Saccharomyces cerevisiae S288C: one gene and its partners. Changing the gene in region 4 together with the main gene of any one other region gives a genetic interaction. Each region holds a gene or a part of one and is shown on either strand. Other genes may lie near its edges.

What was found.
Region 1: mutations in CTF18 (region 4) and SRS2 are lethal when combined (synthetic lethality), as found in Saccharomyces cerevisiae (10 studies listed by BioGRID, with this or other methods).
Region 2: mutations in CTF18 (region 4) and CLB5 together harm fitness more than expected from each alone (negative genetic interaction), as found in Saccharomyces cerevisiae (5 studies listed by BioGRID, with this or other methods).
Region 3: mutations in CTF18 (region 4) and MRC1 are lethal when combined (synthetic lethality), as found in Saccharomyces cerevisiae (8 studies listed by BioGRID, with this or other methods).

Annotation. Positions count from the first base shown.
Region 1 is NC_001142.9:255,267-261,510, forward strand, and holds SRS2 (DNA helicase SRS2), read left to right. Parts: upstream 1-2,156; coding exon 2,157-5,681; downstream 5,682-6,244. Other genes in the region: TOK1 (Tok1p), read right to left, coding at 1-1,546; GWT1 (glucosaminyl-phosphotidylinositol O-acyltransferase), read right to left, coding at 5,814-6,244. UniProt on the Saccharomyces cerevisiae protein: ATP-dependent DNA helicase involved in DNA repair at least for UV-induced lesions. The polarity of the helicase activity was determined to be 3' to 5'.
Region 2 is NC_001148.4:773,288-777,117, forward strand, and holds CLB5 (B-type cyclin CLB5), read right to left. Parts: upstream 1,896-3,830; coding exon 588-1,895; downstream 1-587. UniProt on the Saccharomyces cerevisiae protein: Required for efficient progression through S phase and possibly for the normal progression through meiosis. Interacts with CDC28.
Region 3 is NC_001135.5:17,989-24,105, reverse strand, and holds MRC1 (chromatin-modulating protein MRC1), read left to right. Parts: upstream 1-1,999; coding exon 2,000-5,290; downstream 5,291-6,117. Other genes in the region: MIC10 (Mic10p), read left to right, coding at 1-74; ADF1 (Adf1p), read right to left, coding at 181-522; FYV5 (Fyv5p), read left to right, coding at 125-583; ribosome biosynthesis protein KRR1, read left to right, coding at 727-1,677; VAC17 (Vac17p), read right to left, coding at 5,545-6,117. UniProt on the Saccharomyces cerevisiae protein: Required for normal DNA replication. Phosphorylated in response to DNA replication stress. Phosphorylation allows it to mediate the activation of RAD53.
Region 4 is NC_001145.3:422,003-426,350, forward strand, and holds CTF18 (Ctf18p), read right to left. Parts: upstream 2,727-4,348; coding exon 501-2,726; downstream 1-500. Other genes in the region: ESCRT-III subunit protein VPS20, read right to left, coding at 1-147; phosphatidylinositol/phosphatidylcholine transfer protein SEC14, read left to right, coding at 2,987-2,995, 3,152-4,057. UniProt on the Saccharomyces cerevisiae protein: Essential for the fidelity of chromosome transmission. Required for the DNA replication block checkpoint.

The DNA of each region.
Region 1 (6,244 bases), on a different chromosome or scaffold from region 4:
TTGTATTTTCTTCCAGATCACCATCAGCTGTGTCAGATTCTTCGAAAATTTCTCCAGTGTTCACCATAAAGGAAAGTGCTCTTTGACGCCCATTAAAAACGATGGACTTGACTTTATTATTGAATGATTCACCGATCTTAATATCCAGAGAAGTGGAAATGTCAAACAACAGATCACCGACTGTAGATAGGATAGCCCCCATTAATGGCACGGCTCCCAACGCCCAAATCACAAAAAAAGCACGGCCTGCACCAGTCCTTGGAGCATAGTCTCCGTATCCAATGGTTAATAAGCACAAGAAACAAAAGTAAATACAATTGAAGTACGACCAATTTTCTGCGAATTTGAATACAAGAGCTCCCAATAACCAAAAAGCCATGAAAATTGCAATAGTCACCGACAAAGAAAACCAATGCTGCTTCCTTGAGGCCGTTTGTCGGATACACTTCATTAAGTCGAACGCTTCCCTTTCAGATAAATTTTTACTACTATCCATATAATGTTTCCACGATTTGGACCTGCCTTTTTCAACTCTGTGGAAAAAGAAAATTGGGCCAGAGGACTTTTGAATGATGGATCTTGTCATAAACACTATTAAACCCATCAAGACAACACCAGATAGCGAAAAGATTAAAACCATGATTTTGGCGCCAACCGACTTGGGCAGGATGTCACCTAGTCCCACGGTTAATAATGATACCGTGCAGAAATATAATGCATTTCCGTAAGTGATGTGCAATAAACCGCTAAACATACCCGCACCCCAAATCAACCATAAAGACAATAGTACAGTGTATGCCATGATACTTCTTTCATTGGGCAAAAGGTTGAACGTTGGAGGATATTTTCCTAATTTATATCCAATAAAATGTATTGTTAAAATAATGGTGCATACCAAATATAGACCAGAACTGATACAGGCAAACCAAAATCCGATAGTCTTACTGTAGATGCTGGGCATGTCATTCAAGGAGCATACAATCACGTCCACCAAAAGCATCCCTCCAGCTATTGTCCATCCTGTTATATTTATTAACTGAGATTTAAGATACGTCAACTTCTTACTGAAATGTAGCATTAGTATAATATTTGACGTAAAACCCAGTACCAAAGAGATGATATTAACGGCAAAAATACCAGGAGGATCAAAAACTGTCTTTACTTGATTCATCAAAACATCGGTGTCATTGCTTCGTGGATTTGTCACCACGGAGTTGTTCTTTAAGGATCTCCATTTTTCAACTACACAGGCTATCGAGATAGTGTTAGCTACGGGACCCAAGCAGGCAGTAATCACAGGGAAATAGCATGAAACCACAAACCAAAAGACGAACAGTGTTGAAGAAGGCTCTGCATTAATAATACTAACTCTTTCGTCCCGGAACCGCAATGCATCCTTTAGTTCCTCTGCAAGAACACCCTTAGCTTGCTTCGGTGTGTTGTTTGAATGAGAATCAACAGCCTGAGCTGAGCTCTCTTGCTCCACTGTCGCCATATTGCCATATCCCAGCGTTTGTTTGGCAAAGCTGTTCATGAACCTTGTCATATATATAGAAATCGGTAAAATAAATACAAGAAATATGCTTTGTTATACTGCTAGAAAGGAGTGAAGACATCTGCTCACGATCTACGAGATGCGGCTATTTTTGATGGAAAAAGATACATAGGGTCAGGCATTTTTGCCATATTGAATAACCAAGATGGTACTGAGTACTCAGGTAATGTATATTACATTGAGTACTTCACTTGTATACACAACCACTGCTTCGTATTGTATATCAAGTATCTAACTGTTGATAAACTACAACTTTCTCTTCAACCATAATGATAGCGCCGCTTAAAACATGCTAGGGTAACGAGACGCGAATGCGAAAAACTCCCAAAAAAACCAAAACAAACAAAAGTGACAACAATTAGAACGATGCTGAAGAAGAATAGGAGCGAGTTTAGAGTTACCTCCAGCTATCCTGATACTACTGCTTAGGCTACCTTCGCAGAGTCTCGATAAATTTGCAGTCGGCAAGATAAGAATATTTCTCTACAGCTTTTAGACAGCTTCCTGTCCCTCTAGTTTCTTTTGCCATCCATAATTGTACTCTGCACTTTGAGTATCATTCCAATTTGATCTTTCTTCTACCGGTACTTAGGGATAGCAAATGTCGTCGAACAATGATCTTTGGTTGCATTTAGTATCCCAGTTAAATACTCAACAGAGAGCAGCGGCCCTCTTTGATTACACTAGAGGGCTGCAGGTCATTGCCGGTCCCGGCACAGGGAAGACTAAGGTTTTAACTTCAAGAGTAGCGTATCTTATTCTGCACCACCATATTCATCCCCGCGATATTATAGTGACTACTTTCACTAACAAAGCTGCTAACGAAATGAAAGAGCGTTTGCAAGAAATGTTACGCGGGGCAGGCGTGAATATTTCGGAGCTCTTAATTGGTACTTTTCATAGTATTTGCCTGAAAATACTTTATAGATTTGGCCACTTGGTGGATCTACAGAAAGACTGGAGAATTATTGATGAGAAGGAAATAGATGTCATTTTAGATGATATGATCGAAAAAGTTCCCGACCAAATAAGGGATTATGCTTCCTCAATCACAAGGAAAGTAAATCTTTGTATGCCGAGTAAAAATGGAGATGAATGGACTATTCATCCGAAGCTGATCAAGAAACAGATATCAAAGCTAAAATCAAACGCAATATTACCTGAGGAATACATCTTAGATTCGAATCATGACGCCGCGCTTGGTTACTTTTACCAAATATACCAATCAGAGCTAAGCAAGAAAAATACGTTAGATTTTGATGACTTATTAATGTACACCTTTCGTTTGCTGACTAGAGTGCGTGTTTTATCCAACATAAAGCATGTTTTAGTTGACGAATTTCAAGATACTAACGGCATTCAATTGGACTTGATGTTTCTTTTTGCTAAGGGAAATCATCATCTTTCGAGGGGGATGACCATCGTAGGTGATCCTGATCAAAGCATATATGCTTTCAGAAACGCCTTAGCGCACAACTTTCTAGAAATGGGCAGAAAATGTCCCATCGAGTACTCAACTATCATACTTGTTGAAAATTATCGTTCATCACAAAAAATTCTAAATACAAGCGAAATTTTAATAACGCAACAAAACAAAGGTCGGCAGAATAGGGCTCCACTCCGTGCCCAATTTGACCTGGATTTTCCACCAGTTTACATGAATTTCCCCGCTTACTTTTTGGAAGCACCTTCTTTAGTTCGGGAACTACTATATTTGAAGGCATTGCCAAACCTATTCACATTTAATGACTTTGCTATCCTAGTAAGACAACGAAGACAAATTAAAAGGATCGAAAGTGCATTAATAGAACATCGGATACCCTATAAAATTATTAGGGGCCACAGTTTCTGGGATTCCAAGGAAACAAGAGCGATGTTAAATTTATTAAAATTGATATTTTCTCCGAATGACAAACATGCAATTCTTGCTTCACTTTTATATCCAGCAAGGGGCCTTGGTCCTGCTACCGGTGAGAAGATTAAGAACGCATTGGACACGTTAGCTACCGATGTGTCATGTTTCCAAATATTGAAAGACATAAGTAGTAAAAAAATAATGCTAGACATACCGACGAAAGGCCGTTCTGTGATTGCTGACTTCATTTCAATGATAGAAAATTGTCAATTGTTGCTCCAGAGCACTTTACTAGGGGGTCTTTCAGATTTATTTGATAAGCTATATGAATTATCAGGTCTGAAATACGAATACTTGTACAAGGATGGTAAGAAAAAAAATGATCAGCTTGAAAAATCCGAACCTAATTTATTAAACGCAAGACATAAGAATATTGAACTTTTGAAAAACTATTTCCTGGCTCTTCTTTCCAAGTCAGAATCTTCAGATAAAGAAAAAAATGAAGCCATTAAAGCAGCAACAGATGAAGCCGAACCAATAGAGAACAAGGTCATCACTCCAAAAGAATACCTCCGTAATTTCTTCAATTCACTTTCCCTTCATTCTGATGCAGCTGAGGAGGAAGAGTCGGAATCCAATAAAGATGCAAAAATAAAACGTGAGAAGAATGGGTTTGTCACGATATCTACAATTCACGGTGCCAAAGGTCTTGAGTGGCCGGTAGTTTTTATTCCTGGATGCGAAGAAGGTATAATTCCTTGTGTGTTCAACGATGATAAGAAAGACGAATCAGAGGAGGACGAAGAAGAAGATCAAGAAAATAGTAAGAAAGATGCAAGCCCAAAAAAGACTAGAGTTTTATCCGTGGAAGATTCTATAGATGAGGAAAGAAGAATGTTTTTTGTTGCACAGACTCGTGCAAAATACCTGTTGTACCTATCAAATACTGTAACTGTGGAAGATGTCGATAGACCAAGAATTGCAAGCCGATTTTTGACTACTGACTTGATAAAAGCCATGTCCGATAGCCAAAAATTATTTGAAAGTACGAATAGTATCAAAAAACTATACCGAATTTTGAACAAAAAGCCGCCTGCTGAAGATGATAAACTATTCTCCCTTGACCAATTGCGCAAAGACTATAACCAATTCATTGAAAATAGGAGAGAAAGGATGATTTGGCAAGGGATACAAATGAATGATGTCTATGGAATACAGTTGTCTAGAAATAAATTATTGGGTTCTGTTAGTGATTTCACGTCAGCTGCGGACCAGTTACGACTCGAAACGCAAAACTCTATATTCCCACAGAAGAAACTTATTGAAAAATCACGCCCATCCAAAATCAATGGCAATTACGCTCCTAAAAGTAGAGTTAAAAGTCCAGAAAAAAGGTACGCTCCAGAAACTACATCATTCCATTCTCCTACAAAGAAAAAGGTGTATGCACCTCAATACGTTTCAACAACTAATGTACCTAGTAGGCAGGAGTTTCATTCTTCTACTGGGAAAAATATTCCTTTTCTGAGAAGAGAAGATAGGTCCATCACAGACATATCACCACGATCATCAACGAGGTCGTTAAAAGGAGCATCTCCAAATAAGACGAGCCACATGTCAGATGATTTAATGAGACCATCACCTACGAGGAAGGACAAAGTTACTCGTAATATTCATTTCGCAACTGCAGGAACTTTCAGAATAGAAACCCAGTCAAATGTTGATGAACTGCATCCTCCGGAATACTCCAATAAATCAGGGCAGTCGCTTACGTCGAGTGAATTTTCTGGGTTTTCTAGCGCGTGCAGTAATTCTGATCAGCCAACGAACTTAATAGAAGATATAAACAACGAATTAGATCTATCCGATGAGGAGTTATTAAATGACATATCAATAGAAAGGAGGAGAGAGCTTTTGGGCTCGAAAAAGACGAAAAAAATAAAACCAAAAACTCGAAATAGAAAGTCTAAGAGAGGTGACAAGGTTAAGGTGGAGGAAGTGATAGATTTGAAGAGTGAATTTGAGGAAGATGACAGCAGAAATACAACAGCTGCTGAGTTATTACATAATCCGGATGACACTACAGTTGACAATCGTCCAATAATCTCCAATGCTAAGTTTTTGGCTGACGCAGCAATGAAAAAGACACAGAAATTTTCCAAAAAGGTGAAGAATGAACCTGCATCAAGTCAAATGGATATATTTTCTCAGCTGTCACGTGCGAAAAAAAAGTCAAAATTAAACAACGGTGAAATCATAGTCATCGATTAGTAGCACTTTCATGCCTGACTACGTCAACTATTGGAGGCGGTTTATAATTTTTATTTAAAGCACATAGGAGTTAATTTTATTTTACTGGTAGGGTTTGTATACGAACTACATGGAAATGTGGATGGTGTGTTATTATAGCTTAATGAATATTCTTTTTCTATACAAGAAAACCGATATGACAGCTATGAATGAGCAGTATGCCAACAAAACCAGGAATGATTTTAAGGGTGAAGAATCTATCGTGACCATAGACATATTGACTAAACCAGTAGAGACATTTGCCAACAAAAATAAAAACAACCCATTGGAGTTGATTGATTCCAAGCATTCGGCAACTTTATAATATTCCGAAGAATTACCGAAAATTTTGTCAGTCAAGCAGTACCCAGTCAAAAATAGTAAATTATAAGTAATGACCCACAAAGTATATGGTAAGTTAGCAAACCTTCTTGAAACACTATAAGGATGGTATTGAAAAACCAACTGGCTGATAACAAGAAAAATTGTACTCCATATACAGAGGCCACTTAATGGGGTTACTGAAGTCCAATAGTCCCAAGTCG
Region 2 (3,830 bases), on a different chromosome or scaffold from region 4:
GATAAAAAATCATTCGAAGCCTAAGATTTCCAAAATAAAACTCCATTTTTATTCTCACTAATAACACCACACCATTAATTTTAATTTTTTAATTTTAATTTCAGATTTGTACCATAAGTTTTATTCTATTTCAGTTCAACCGTTTCCGGATGCATGTAGCGAGGGTAGACAAAGAAAAGCATCAGTATCGGATGTTGATATTATGGGAAATATCATAACCTTAGTCTCTTAAAAAATGCTGCTTTCTTCTCATTTTTCATTTCTTTTAAAATTATTTCAGTATAGTTATTATAATTAACATTGGAATAACATTAATAATAATAATTTTTTAATAGTAATAATGATAATAATAATAATAAAAATAAAAGAATAAATTTAAAAACAAAAAAAATTCTAATATTAATGATGATAATAGTAGTAATACTGGTGGTATTATATATGTTGAAGTGAACACGCATATCACTATAAACTATATATACATATATATAGATAGATAGATAGATGCAAAAAATTTTTTCCTTTTAGTTCAGCAAAAAGAAAAGAAAATGTAAAGAGTATGCGAATTCATGAGCATTACTAGTACTAATCTACTTAAGATTAAATAGATTTTGAAAGTTGCTATGCATTTCGGATGTACACCACTTGAAAGTTTGGAAATAAACAGAGCCATACCTTGGTTTCTTGTACTTCAAAATCAATGAATCTAAATGAGTTTTGGAACTAGCGATGTCTTTGACTAGATCAATGCAGAGAGACTGAAACGCTTCATCGTGTATTGGATCGATACCACCACTGTAATGCTGTAGTGTTCCATTCCATAGCTCGTTCTTGTTTCTGTTGGTCATTCTTCTCGCTATATACATTGCCATTGCGCTTACGGTAGATGGAGGTAAATGAATGAATTGGTGGCAGCAGTAGGCATACTCTAAAATAAACTTACCAATATTTCTATTAACCGGATCGTAATCATCTGCCTTGGAGATCCTCCTTAGGAAATTGAGTGGGTTGGGCCAACCAATGTTGAATTCTAAGGAAGTGAGCATGAACATTTCCGCATTTTTTATGTCGTTTTTAGAAGCCGCGCCGTCAGTGATATAAGCGTATTCAGCTAGTTTGGGCAAATTTACCTCTTCAAATTTTGCCGCGATGAAAAGTGAGGTAACTGCCAATAATTGTAACTTGTTCATCGTAACTTTATTTTTAGCTAAAAATCTATCCATTAAGTTTATGGATAGGAATAACGTTTCCGGATAGCATTGAAATTTTTCGTGCACCTCTACCAGCCAATCCACTAATATTGTTCTCATGGAAGGCCTCAAATAATACTTGGACGTTTTGTCGAGTAAATAGTTGTGCGATGGTAACGTTTCTAATTCTCTTCTATATAAAAATGCAAAAATTTCAGCAGAATATTCTGCTACCATTGCAGTATCATCTTTTTCAACATAATCTAGGTCCTGCCAGCCTACTATTTCACTCACTCCTTCAGCGTCTATTCTGCGTTTTTTGTTCACTATCGAAGCAGCATCATCATCTTCTCCTTCTTCTTCTTCTTCTTCTTCTTGCTCTGCTGCCGTTCGATCGTTATATATCTGTCTTTTTTGAACGGCGCTAACAATAGGTCTAATGTTTTCTTCTCTTCGTACTTTGGCCGCCTTGCTCCCTGCTACTATTCTCTTGTTCTGGCTTAAAGGATTATTGTTCACTGGTACATCTGTTAAAGCCCTTCTTGGTTTAGAATCCTGAACCTGCTGCTTACTAGAGCTGTCATTTTTTGAAAGGGCCCTTTTATTTTGAAGAATCTTTAGGTTTGAATTGCACAACTGCCTCTCATTTTCATTATAAATCATAGAATTTCTTTTAATACTCTGCTCATGGTCGTGGTTCTCTCCCATTGTTCAGTAAAGGTGTTCAGCGGCTTTAAATACAGGGAAAAGCGCGTTACTGCTAATTATTAAGCTTATTTTGCTTTGTGTGAGACAACTAATTGGCCGTGAAAAGCTTTAGGTGATTGAGTCTCTTGAAGTACAAAGACAAAAAGACTTCAATAGATAGACAGAAAAAAAACTTTTCTTGAGAAGCTTAAGAATTAGTTCCAAGTAGCTTCTAATAAACCGATGAACGCAAATGAAGTTCCCTTCGCGGTAGATGGCAGTAGCTATCGGCAGTCACTAGGAAAAGTGAGTTTAGCACAGATATGCTGTGGGCGCTATCCCAATGTGGGCAAAGCGCGTGAACATCACGACGCGCCTTCCCGTTAAATTTTGTACCATCAAGGGCGCGTCTTCACTCGAGATGCGCGTTCTTTTGCTGGTTCTTTTCACTGAGGGCACAGAATATGATACCCACAGTATGACAAGTTTTAATCGAGATAGTTTGACGTTCGTTTTTTACTTTGAATATACTCGTAGTCTTTTTACTTTTTGAGTATAAAAAAAAAATGACTAGCAAAATAAAATTAGTAGTCTAAAAAAGAAAGCTCGCACTCAGGATCGAACTAAGGACCAACAGATTTGCAATCTGCTGCGCTACCACTGCGCCATACGAGCTTTTGAATTATGGTAATTTTGATTATCCTAGAATGTTATATCTCAATATCTCAATATATTTTGGACATCTATGAAACACCCATAAAGCAGCCGCTACCAAACAGACAAGATTCAGTATGTAAGGTAAATACCTTTTTGCACAGTTAAACTACCCAAACTTATTAAAGCTTGATAAATTACTGAAATTCCACCTTTCAGTTAGATTCAGGCCTCATATAGATTAGATATAGGGTACGTAACATTCTGTCAACCAAGTTGTTGGAATGAAAGTCTAAAATGTCATCTATTCGGTAGCACTCATGTTACTAGTATACTGTCACATGCGGTGTAACGTGGGGACATAAAACAGACATCAAATATAATGGAAGCTGAAATGCAAAGATCGATAATGTAATAGGAATGAAACATATAAAACGAAAGGAGAAGTAATGGTAATATTAGTATGTAGAAATACCGATTCAATTTTGGGGATTCTTATATTCTCGAGAGAATTTCTAGTATAATCTGTATACATAATATTATAGGCTTTACCAACAATGGAATTTCGACAATTATCATATTATTCACCAATTAATCACAAGTTGGTAATGAGTTTGATAACAAGTTACTTTCTTAACAACGTTAGTATCGTCAAAACACTCGGTTTTACTCGAGCTTGTAGCACAATAATACCGTGTAGAGTTCTGTATTGTTCTTCTTAGTGCTTGTATATGCTCATCCCGACCTTCCATTTTTTTTTTCTTGGAATCAGTACATAGCAGGTATGAGTTGTTAGAGCTGTTACAAGTTACGGTAAACATTTCAACACACCGTTATTTAACGAATTTATTTGAGAAAGTGGTGTATTTTAAGATATATGTTTGGTTTCGATTGTTGGCAAAGACTATAATATTATGCATATAGGATATACCAAAAATTCTCTCTGAGGATATAGGAATCTACAAAATGAATCTACATTTCATTTTATTACGTCATATATGAATACTAGTCAATAGATGATAGTTAATTTTTATTCTAGCATATATTTAAGTTTGTTTGCGAAACCCTATGCTCTGTTGTTCGGATTTGAAATTTTAAAACTACATTAATGTGTTAGTTTTTCTTTCTTTCTTTCTTTGTCTTGACGTGATTTGGACTTCTGTCTTGCATTCGCGTCCATTCATCTGACCCAATATTCCTTTTGGTTTTGTTATCCTTATAAAAAGAAAGGAAGCTTCTTAGAGGGAAAAAAATGATGAAGAGTAATGCCAAAATATAAATAAATAAATAAATATGAAAATC
Region 3 (6,117 bases), on a different chromosome or scaffold from region 4:
GTGTTGGAAGAGGCTACGCCGAGGGCGACGCCATCTTTAGATCCAGCGCTGGCCTCAGATCCTCGAAGGTTTAGTCTTAAGCGACGATGCTTTATATATATTCAAAAAAAAAAATAATAAAAATATGCAGTACCATTCCGCTCTATATGTATATATTTACGTAACTTTCACCACTATTCCCTATAAGGAAAAGCCGGATATCATTTCGATCTGCTTCAGCATGCTGTCGTTTGTTTTTGATTTTTCTGTCCGAATTTGCTCTCGTACCTTGGAGTCCTTTTCCTGGTCCTTGATCAGCTCCTCGGCTTTCAAAGTAGTCTCAGCTTTCAGTTTAGCTGGCTCTTGTGTACTTGCCTCCCGCAGCAGCGTCGGTATCATTGTTTCACTACTTTTGTTTAACTTTTCCACTTGTAACTTTGTTCTCTTCCTTTCAGCGGTGCTGATCGACCTCTTTTTTTGTACTTTCTTGCCAACACCAACATTCTTGCCCACACCTTTCTTTTTCATGCTACACTTGCCCATTTTTTCCTTGCTAAATGCCCTTGAGTTATTGTACCTTATTATAGCAGGCTTGCACATCTGAAAACGAAAATTTTTTTTTCCTTATATTTCTAATTCTTTTAGCGATGAGATATGAAAATTTTCAAAAAAAAGAGATGATGAGGTTAACTATTGTAAAGTAGACAGCAAACAAAAGGGTCACACAAATATCCAAATTGGCAAACGATGGTGTCTACACATAACAGAGATAAACCTTGGGATACGGATGATATTGATAAATGGAAGATAGAGGAGTTTAAGGAAGAGGATAACGCATCCGGTCAACCTTTTGCTGAAGAGTCCAGTTTTATGACTTTGTTTCCTAAATACAGAGAAAGTTACTTGAAGACGATTTGGAATGATGTAACAAGGGCTCTAGACAAACACAACATAGCGTGTGTTCTAGATTTAGTCGAAGGTTCTATGACAGTAAAAACAACTAGAAAAACATACGATCCCGCTATCATTTTGAAAGCCAGAGATTTGATCAAATTATTGGCGAGATCCGTTCCTTTCCCGCAAGCCGTTAAGATCCTACAAGATGACATGGCATGCGACGTTATTAAAATTGGTAATTTCGTTACTAACAAAGAAAGGTTTGTCAAGAGAAGACAACGTCTTGTAGGCCCTAACGGTAATACTTTAAAGGCTTTGGAACTTCTAACTAAATGTTACATTCTAGTACAAGGTAACACAGTAAGTGCCATGGGTCCCTTCAAGGGCTTGAAGGAGGTCCGTCGAGTAGTAGAAGATTGTATGAAAAATATTCACCCTATCTATCATATCAAGGAATTAATGATAAAAAGAGAATTGGCAAAAAGGCCAGAGTTAGCCAATGAAGATTGGTCAAGATTCTTGCCCATGTTTAAGAAGAGGAATGTGGCCAGAAAGAAACCCAAGAAGATCAGAAACGTCGAAAAGAAGGTCTATACTCCATTTCCTCCTGCCCAATTGCCTAGAAAGGTTGATTTGGAAATTGAAAGTGGTGAGTATTTCTTAAGCAAGAGAGAAAAGCAAATGAAGAAATTAAATGAGCAAAAGGAAAAGCAAATGGAAAGAGAAATCGAAAGGCAGGAAGAGAGAGCAAAAGATTTCATAGCTCCGGAAGAAGAAGCATACAAGCCAAACCAAAATTAGTTTACACCGCTACGGAATCCTTCATATATGTCTATATATATATAGAAACACACACACATTTCGTTTACTTAGATATGTTTGTAAAGTGAAAGAAATTCTTACTAGGACACCAACTCTACTGGCTCTCATATGCAGAGAGATATACATCAATACTTGAAATTTTCCTTATCCTTCTTCGACGCGTCATGAAGAGATAGAATGCGTAAAACGCGTTTGCTTCAATAGCATTTCAAACACATTATGTTGGAAAAAAACCAAGAACAGACAAACAACTAAGGAAGTTCGTTATTCGCTTTTGAACTTATCACCAAATATTTTAGTGATGGATGATGCCTTGCATGCTTTGTCCTCGTTGACTGCAAAGAAGAGAACTACCACCTACAAAAAAGTTGCTGTTCCCATACTAGATGAGAACGATAATACTAATGGAAATGGGCCCAATGACATAGACAATCCGCCAGAGTTGACTGGGAACGGGTTTTTATTTGCCAATGCCACATTAAATCGTGTTAAGAACAGATTAGAAGGCAAGAAAGCACCCGAACAGAATCACAATAATGGAAAAGATAGGAGTGAGAATTCGTTACCAACTCAATTAATCTCTAATCTTTACGATGGTGGTGAAGAGCTGGAGAAATCCGAAGTTAAAGATAATAGTTACAGTGAGAAAAATGTCTCTTCTTCATTCACGCAGACGCAAAGAATACCTGTCAGCATCCAACAAGACAAGGTGTTTAACGTACCTATCCATTCCGTTAATGACGGGAAACCCACCCAATTAATCAAAGAAGATGGTCTCGTCAACGAAACTTCTCAAGCGCTGAAAACACCTCTCACGACAGGACGGCCAGGGGCTACACAGCGTATAGATAGCAGCGGTGCAACCTCACAAACTCAGCCTATAAAATCAATTGAACCACAATCCCAAATAATTACGACTTCCAGCAATCATTCTAATGCTCTGTCGCCGAAAATTCCTATAATTCCAACGGAACTTATTGGAACTAGTCCTTTATTTCAGTCCATTCAAAATCGTGGTCCTGACACCCAAATGGATGTACCACCACAGACTGCGCATGATGAGGATAAGACACAAGCAATTGGTATTCCACAGGCTACGCATCAGGAACAGAAAACCCAAATAGATACAGTCGCACAAACACTTCAAGATGAAGTACCACACACATTAAAAATTCGGGAAATACAAAGCGAATTGGCTTCAGAAGATTCTAAAAGGGAAAAAGCTAGAAATGTCGAATACAAAAAACCGCAAAAGCCAATACCAACCAAAAAATTTTTTTCTAAAGAGTCTTTTCTTGCTGATTTTGACGATTCGTCCTCAAATGAGGACGATGATATAAAGCTGGAAAATGCACATCCAAAACCAGTACAGAATGACGATGAACTGCATGAGAACAAAAGTGTTGAATTAAATCTAACTGATGAGACAAGAATAAATGAGAAAAGGGTTCCACTATTGAGCTCCTATGCTAATAATTTGAAACGGGAAATTGACTCCTCGAAATGCATAACACTGGACCTCGACAGCGACAGTGACGAATATGGAGATGATGATATGGATAGCATTAAATTATCCAAAGATGAAAGCGTTTTGCCAATCTCTCAGTTATCAAAGGCGACTATATTAAACCTGAAGGCAAGACTCTCTAAACAAAATCAAAAGTTGTCTCAAAGGCCGAATAAAAGTAAAGACCCAAAAGTTGATCATAATGTACTATTAAATACCTTAAGGAAAGCTAGCAGGAAACAAATTCTGGATCATCAGAAAGAAGTGATTGAAACGAAAGGTCTGAAGCTGGAGGATATGGCCAAAGAAAAGGAAATAGTAGAGAACTTGCTAGAACAAGAAATTCTTAGAAATAAAAGAATCAGACAAAAAGAGAAGAGAAGGGAAAAACTTGAAGAAAATGACTTTCAATTGAACGCCCATGATTCCGGTTCTGACTCAGGGTCAGAGTCTTCTGGATTTGCATTGAGTGGTAATGAAATTGCCGATTATGAATCATCTGGTAGTGAAAATGACAATCGTAGAGAATCCGATAGTGAAAAGGAAGATGATGAAATTATTCTAAAGCAAAAAAAATCCCACCACGTGAAACATATCATTAACGAATCAGACTCTGATACCGAAGTCGAAGCCAAACCCAAAGAGAAAGCTGATGAAAGTCTACCGAAAAGGATCGCCATTAATCTGGGCCATTACGGTGATAATATCGGAGAGGATACCGACAAATTTCAAGAAACCAATGTTCTAGATACACAAAACATTGAAGAGGTGATGGCCGAAAGAAATACAATCGAAAATGAAGTCAAAGATGATGTATACGTCAATGAAGAAGCTGATGAAGCAATTCGCCGTCAGCTGATTGACAAAGAGAAATTGCAACTAAAACAGAAAGAAAAGGAGCACGAGGCTAAGATAAAAGAGTTGAAGAAAAGAGGTGTCACAAACTTCTTTGAAATGGAAGCCGAAGAATCCGAGGATGAATGGCATGGTATCGGTGGTGCAGATGGAGAAGGATCTGACGACTATGATTCTGACCTAGAAAAAATGATCGATGATTATTCCAAGAACAATTTCAATCCTCATGAAATCAGAGAAATGCTTGCCGCAGAAAATAAGGAAATGGATATCAAAATGATAAACAAAATTCTTTATGACATTAAAAATGGAGGATTTCGTAATAAAAGAGCAAAAAATAGCTTAGAGCTAGAACTAAGTGATGATGATGAAGACGACGTACTACAACAATATCGTCTCAAAAGGAGAGAATTGATGAGAAAAAGGAGATTAGAAATTGGCGATGATGCAAAGCTTGTTAAAAACCCAAAGTCGAGCGCATTTTTTGAAAGTATGGTGGAAGATATTATCGAATATAAAAACCCCTTCGGGGCTGAAGAGGAATATAACCTAGACATTACAAGTACGGCTACTGACCTAGATACTCAGGACAATAGCATTAATGTAGGTGATAATACGGGAAATAATGAACAGAAACCTGTAGATCAAAAGAACAAAAAGGTTATCATATCTGAAGACTTTGTGCAGAAAAGCTTATCCTTCCTAAAAAGTAATAATTATGAGGATTTTGAAACGGATAAGGAGCTATCAAGGATACAACATGGCAATGATGAAGCAATTGAAGATTTATATACCCTAAAACAGAATAGTTCGATAAAGTCATTCACAAATTCTCAAACTGATTCGACCACTTCAAAAACAGTAAACACAATAATTGACTTAGAAAAGCGCCCAGAGGATGAAGATGAGGTGGAAAATGGAGATACATCACTAGTTGGCGTTTTCAAACATCCATCAATAATCAAATCCTTTGCGTCCAGAACAGACATAAATGATAAGTTTAAAGAAGGTAACAAGACAGTCAAGATTCTAAAGTCTTACAAGACAGTGGGGAGTTCAAAAGCTTCTATCACATATATGGGGAAAACGAGAAAATTAATAGCACCAAAGAGGAAAACTGAAGGGAGCCACCGCTACCACCATGACCATCATAATAAAAAAATGAAAATGAAAACGAAAACAAAATCGAATAAACTTTTTGAAAGCGGACAAGATAGCTTTGATAATTAGTGGTTTTTTATCTTTTCCGAAGAAGTTGATTGAACTCCAGAAGCTGTCTTGAAGTAGTCGCATTAAAAAAGATGGCACCCGAGTCTAGGCCAAGCCATAGTCATGTTATGATAGGATTTTATAAGACAAATATTATAAAGAAGTTTAATAATAATACAAAAAGATACAAAAAAACTTGAAGATATTCTGAATAAAAAAAAAAAGAATAAACATTTGGAGCAAAAGAAGAGTAGGTTAGGTAAAGGAGGCATTAATTAAAACAGCAGTTCTGTATTCAAAGCATCTTGCAATTCTTCTATAGAGACGCTTATATCCATATTATTTTTTTGTTCCTGTGCTACATTATGATTTGATATTCGTTCTTCATTCATGCCCTTATTCTTTCTCCCCCTCTTACTTTGAAAAGATTCTGATATTGTGCTTAACGATGAATTAAACTTATCCATAAAAGATGCATGCTTAAGATTTGTGTTGTTCTCTTTTACCGTATGTGTATCTGATCGTGCAATGAATGATGATAACAACGCCTTAGAACTTGAAATACGAGGACCATTACGACTAGGAGCCATTGTCGCTGCAACAGTTGGATGACAGTTCACTTGGACATTTGATATCGAAGTTCCAAACGTCGGATTAGATGGCCTGAAGAATGAGGCGGAGAAACTTCCCAGATTGAGCGACTTAGAAGGTGCTGGTTTGTTAGATAGTATACTTTCGTGAGAGTTATATCTCCTTAAAGGTTCGAATTCAGCACCCTTTGCGGTCACACCAACATGTGGAGGGGTACTTATGTTTGGTAGAATGATAGTATCTTGATCAGAATCAAA
Region 4 (4,348 bases):
TATTAGGTCTTTTAGTTGACTCTTCTCTACCAAAATCAAATTATCTGTCCTCCTCGTAAACTTATGAATTTCATCTTTAGATCGTTTTACTTCTAGGATCGCCCTATCTGTTTTGGTTATATGCACTTTACTACTTTTTTGGCCCATTCGATATATACAAAAGCACCAAGTGGAGTTAATTCAGCAGTCTGTACTATTTTTCCAAACTATCTATGTTTTGTTCTTTTCTATGCGCTATATTGTATCCCACAGATAGTAATTCGATTTTCGGTCTTTCTGCTCTTCGGGGTTCCATTTATGTAGAAATAAGAACGATAGCGAAGAGGGTAAAAGATCACGAATAAAAAACGAACGCTGCGTGACAAAATCGGAGCTGTTGCGACTACCGGCAGGATTGATTGCTAATGTTCTTTATTTACTTCTTTTAGATTTCTATGTAAGCTGCTGGTCCATATACAAGTATGCTTCTTAAGAGAGACTGCGTATATATCTTACGTCATTTATTCCCACAGGTTATTCCAAGTCACATTTTTCCTGACAGCGTTAGAGAACCCCTCATTGTATTTCACCCATATTTTAACCGTTTGATTGCAGTCATCTGCTTGGTTGGTTTCGTCTGATCCAATAGTTTTTTGTGTCTCTTCCAATTCCTGAGTTTGCTTCAATAATCCGTACTGATTCTTGAAAAAGTCGATTGTACTTGAGGAAGAATTTAACCCAGTTTTGACTTTTTTGCTATGCATTTCCTGTGACTGTAGTCTATCCTCAGTCACTTGGTCTATATGCCTTTTCTTGGCCCGGTTTTCCTCAATCTTTGCTAACAGTGAACTCAAATTATTAGCCCGTTTATGTTGGACTTCGTTAATATGTTTAGGATTTAACAATACGACTTCATCGATTGGGGGATCGATTGTTAGGCCACCCCTTACATCAAATCCTTCTGACCGATTTTGGATTAGATTCAGTTGAAAGCTTTTCAGCAATTGAACTAATTCCTCCATGATGGCTTGTTTGAGTTTCAGGTTCCTTATTTTATTAAAATCGGAAGAGATCATCGAATCTAGATATGGTAGTATTTCAAAGATTAACGATTTTCTATCCGTAAAACTTGCCATTAGTGGGGACTGAACCGAGATATGTCTCATAATCAGACTAACTATATCTGAATTGGCTCGTTTTAATTCACGTTGTTCGTATTCACTATTCTTCATTCTAATATCATCTTTGTTTGCGATATCGCCAAACGTTTGGAAGAAGACTAGGGGCACAAGGGCGGAGTAACGTAACAATTCGCCATTATGCGCATACATTGATTGGTACATTAAATCATGGAAAAATAGCCAATCTGAAATGTTTGCTGGCTTTCTTATACCATTGTCGGAATATTTTACGTAGGGAAATATATTAAAACAGCCTTGCAATATCCTGTCAGAGTTACCATTAAGCTCTACTTGGTTTAGCAATTCATAAAACTGCTCCTTTATATCACGATGTGGATCCTTTCTAAACAATTGGTTCACGATTTTAAACCATGATATGGGGGAGTCCTTGTTGGATGACGCCCACGTATTTTTTGCACAAGCAGGTTTATCTGATGCAGAGGAATCTCTTGAATCAACATTCGAGGCCAAGAATTGTAAATTGTTTATACAATTCCTTACGTCACCTTGAGCCAAATCAATTAAGTCATTGATTGCTTTTATAGGAATATTCATGTTTTCTTTATGGCAGATAAGGTTCAATCGCTCTAGTAGGGTAGTATCGGAAGGTCTTTTCACAGCAATAATTTCACAGAATGGTTTCAGCTTTTCCAAAGAAGGAGCATATAGATTATTGCAAATACAAATAATAGGTCGCGTAAGCAATTTAGACCTTTTCTTTTTGCGCTTTTTGTCCTTTTTATCTGGTTGACCGTATAATAGTTTATTAGTGGCTTTAATATCGCTTTGCATAATGTCAACTAAAATTCTAATAAATCCACTCTCAATACTTCCATCAATCTCATCCGCCACTAAGCACACAGGATTTGTATCGAAAGTATGATTGAATAAAAGATTATATATTTTCTCTTTTACCATAGGTCCAGCCCTTTCATCACTTGCATTGATTTCTGAGACAGAAAACCCTGATTGTTTGGCAATAACGTGAGCTACTGAGGTTTTGCCTATTCCTGGTGGCCCGTGCAGTAGTAAAATTTTCTTTGGTGGCCTTTTCAATGGATCGAGTTCCATATCACTGACCTCTTTTTCGGTTGGCAATTTGGGTAATTGCTCTTTAAACACAGCCGGCGTCCATTGTCTCAACCAACCTAACATTCTCCTGTTTGTCTTTTCATTACCAACCAAATCTAGAAATTTTTTAGGACGCCATTTCTCTACCCAGAGTGTGTCGCTACCTATCTTGCCAGTTATAGGTGAAGTCTTTTGTGCGTTAGTGCGGTCATCGCCAGATGCCTCAATTTTGTCTAACAAATAGTTTATATTGATGCCGTACGTGTCGTCTGATCTCCAAACAGTATCTGGGTTAGTGTATAGACTAATATTCCCGGTTGCTAACTTCGCAGGCTTCTTCTTTAATTGAACCGTTTCGCCAGTACTTGATACAAACGCGTGAATATCTTCCTCATTAATACCAATTGCATTATTACCAGGGGCTTGTTCTATATCACCAGTATCAAAAAGGGAACTTCTCCCTAGTGAACCAATGTATGGTGCGGTATCAACCATGATCCCTGACCTTACATCCACCTTTTGGGTCAAATAGTGTACACATTAGGAATAAAATATATGAAATCATGTTTATTTACGTGTTAGATGTTCCGTACAACGCGACTGGCTAGTTCGTTTTTTCCACATTTTTTTTTTCAACGTTGATCAACAATAAAATGGTACATCTTCCTTTGTTTGTGTCTTAAGTGTCCTTTCCTGGTATATCGCTTGACCAGCGCCTGTAGCATCAAACCAAACCTTCATCGCCCTAAAACACAATGGTTACAGTATGTTGTTGCTTTTATTTACTTTTTCTTTTTTTGACATTCATTGTGACAATATTCACATTCTTCAGATAGTTCTGTCTATATGAAGCAAAAATGATATATCAATAAGTTTACTAACAAACACAAGTGGTATTACTATGACTTCACTTTAAATAGCAACAAGAAAAGGAATTTTTAGAATCCTACCCTCAAAACTGTCCTCCAGATGCCTTGCCTGGTACTCCAGGAAATTTAGACAGCGCTCAAGAGAAGGCATTGGCAGAACTAAGAAAACTTTTGGAAGACGCTGGTTTCATTGAACGTTTAGACGATTCAACTTTACTACGTTTTTTGAGAGCCAGAAAATTTGATGTTCAATTGGCTAAAGAAATGTTTGAAAACTGCGAAAAATGGAGGAAGGATTATGGTACCGACACTATCTTGCAAGATTTTCATTATGATGAAAAACCATTGATTGCCAAATTCTACCCACAATATTATCATAAAACCGATAAAGATGGCCGCCCAGTATATTTTGAAGAATTAGGTGCTGTTAACTTACATGAAATGAACAAGGTTACCTCTGAAGAGAGGATGTTGAAAAACTTGGTTTGGGAATACGAATCTGTCGTTCAATACAGATTACCTGCCTGTTCAAGAGCTGCTGGTCACCTAGTGGAAACTTCATGTACAATTATGGATTTGAAAGGTATCTCCATATCTAGTGCATACAGTGTTATGTCATATGTTAGGGAAGCCTCCTACATAAGTCAAAACTATTACCCCGAACGTATGGGTAAATTTTACATCATCAACGCGCCATTCGGTTTCTCTACCGCATTTAGGCTATTTAAACCTTTCTTGGATCCAGTCACTGTTTCAAAGATTTTTATCTTGGGTTCTTCTTACCAGAAGGAATTATTAAAGCAAATTCCAGCTGAAAACTTACCAGTCAAATTTGGCGGTAAGTCTGAAGTTGATGAATCCAAGGGTGGGTTATACCTATCCGATATCGGTCCATGGAGGGATCCAAAGTATATTGGACCGGAAGGTGAAGCTCCGGAAGCCTTTTCGATGAAATGATATTATTTTTAAAGACATTTTTTTTTCGAGAGAGAAAAGAGGAGTTCTAAGTAACGATATTTTACAACTGAGATAAGTACAAGTATGCTTATTTACTCTATTCTACTTTTTTGAATAGGCATAGTTCACACTTTTATCTCCTTAGTTTGTACTACTCTTTTTTTATTTTTTTTTTTTCTTCCACTCAGCTATTAGATTATTTATTATTTTATTATCTGTGGTATCATTTTCTACAGCCATACCTTGATTTTAGTTTATTTTGTTGGCAGTTATATACATTTATCTTATAGA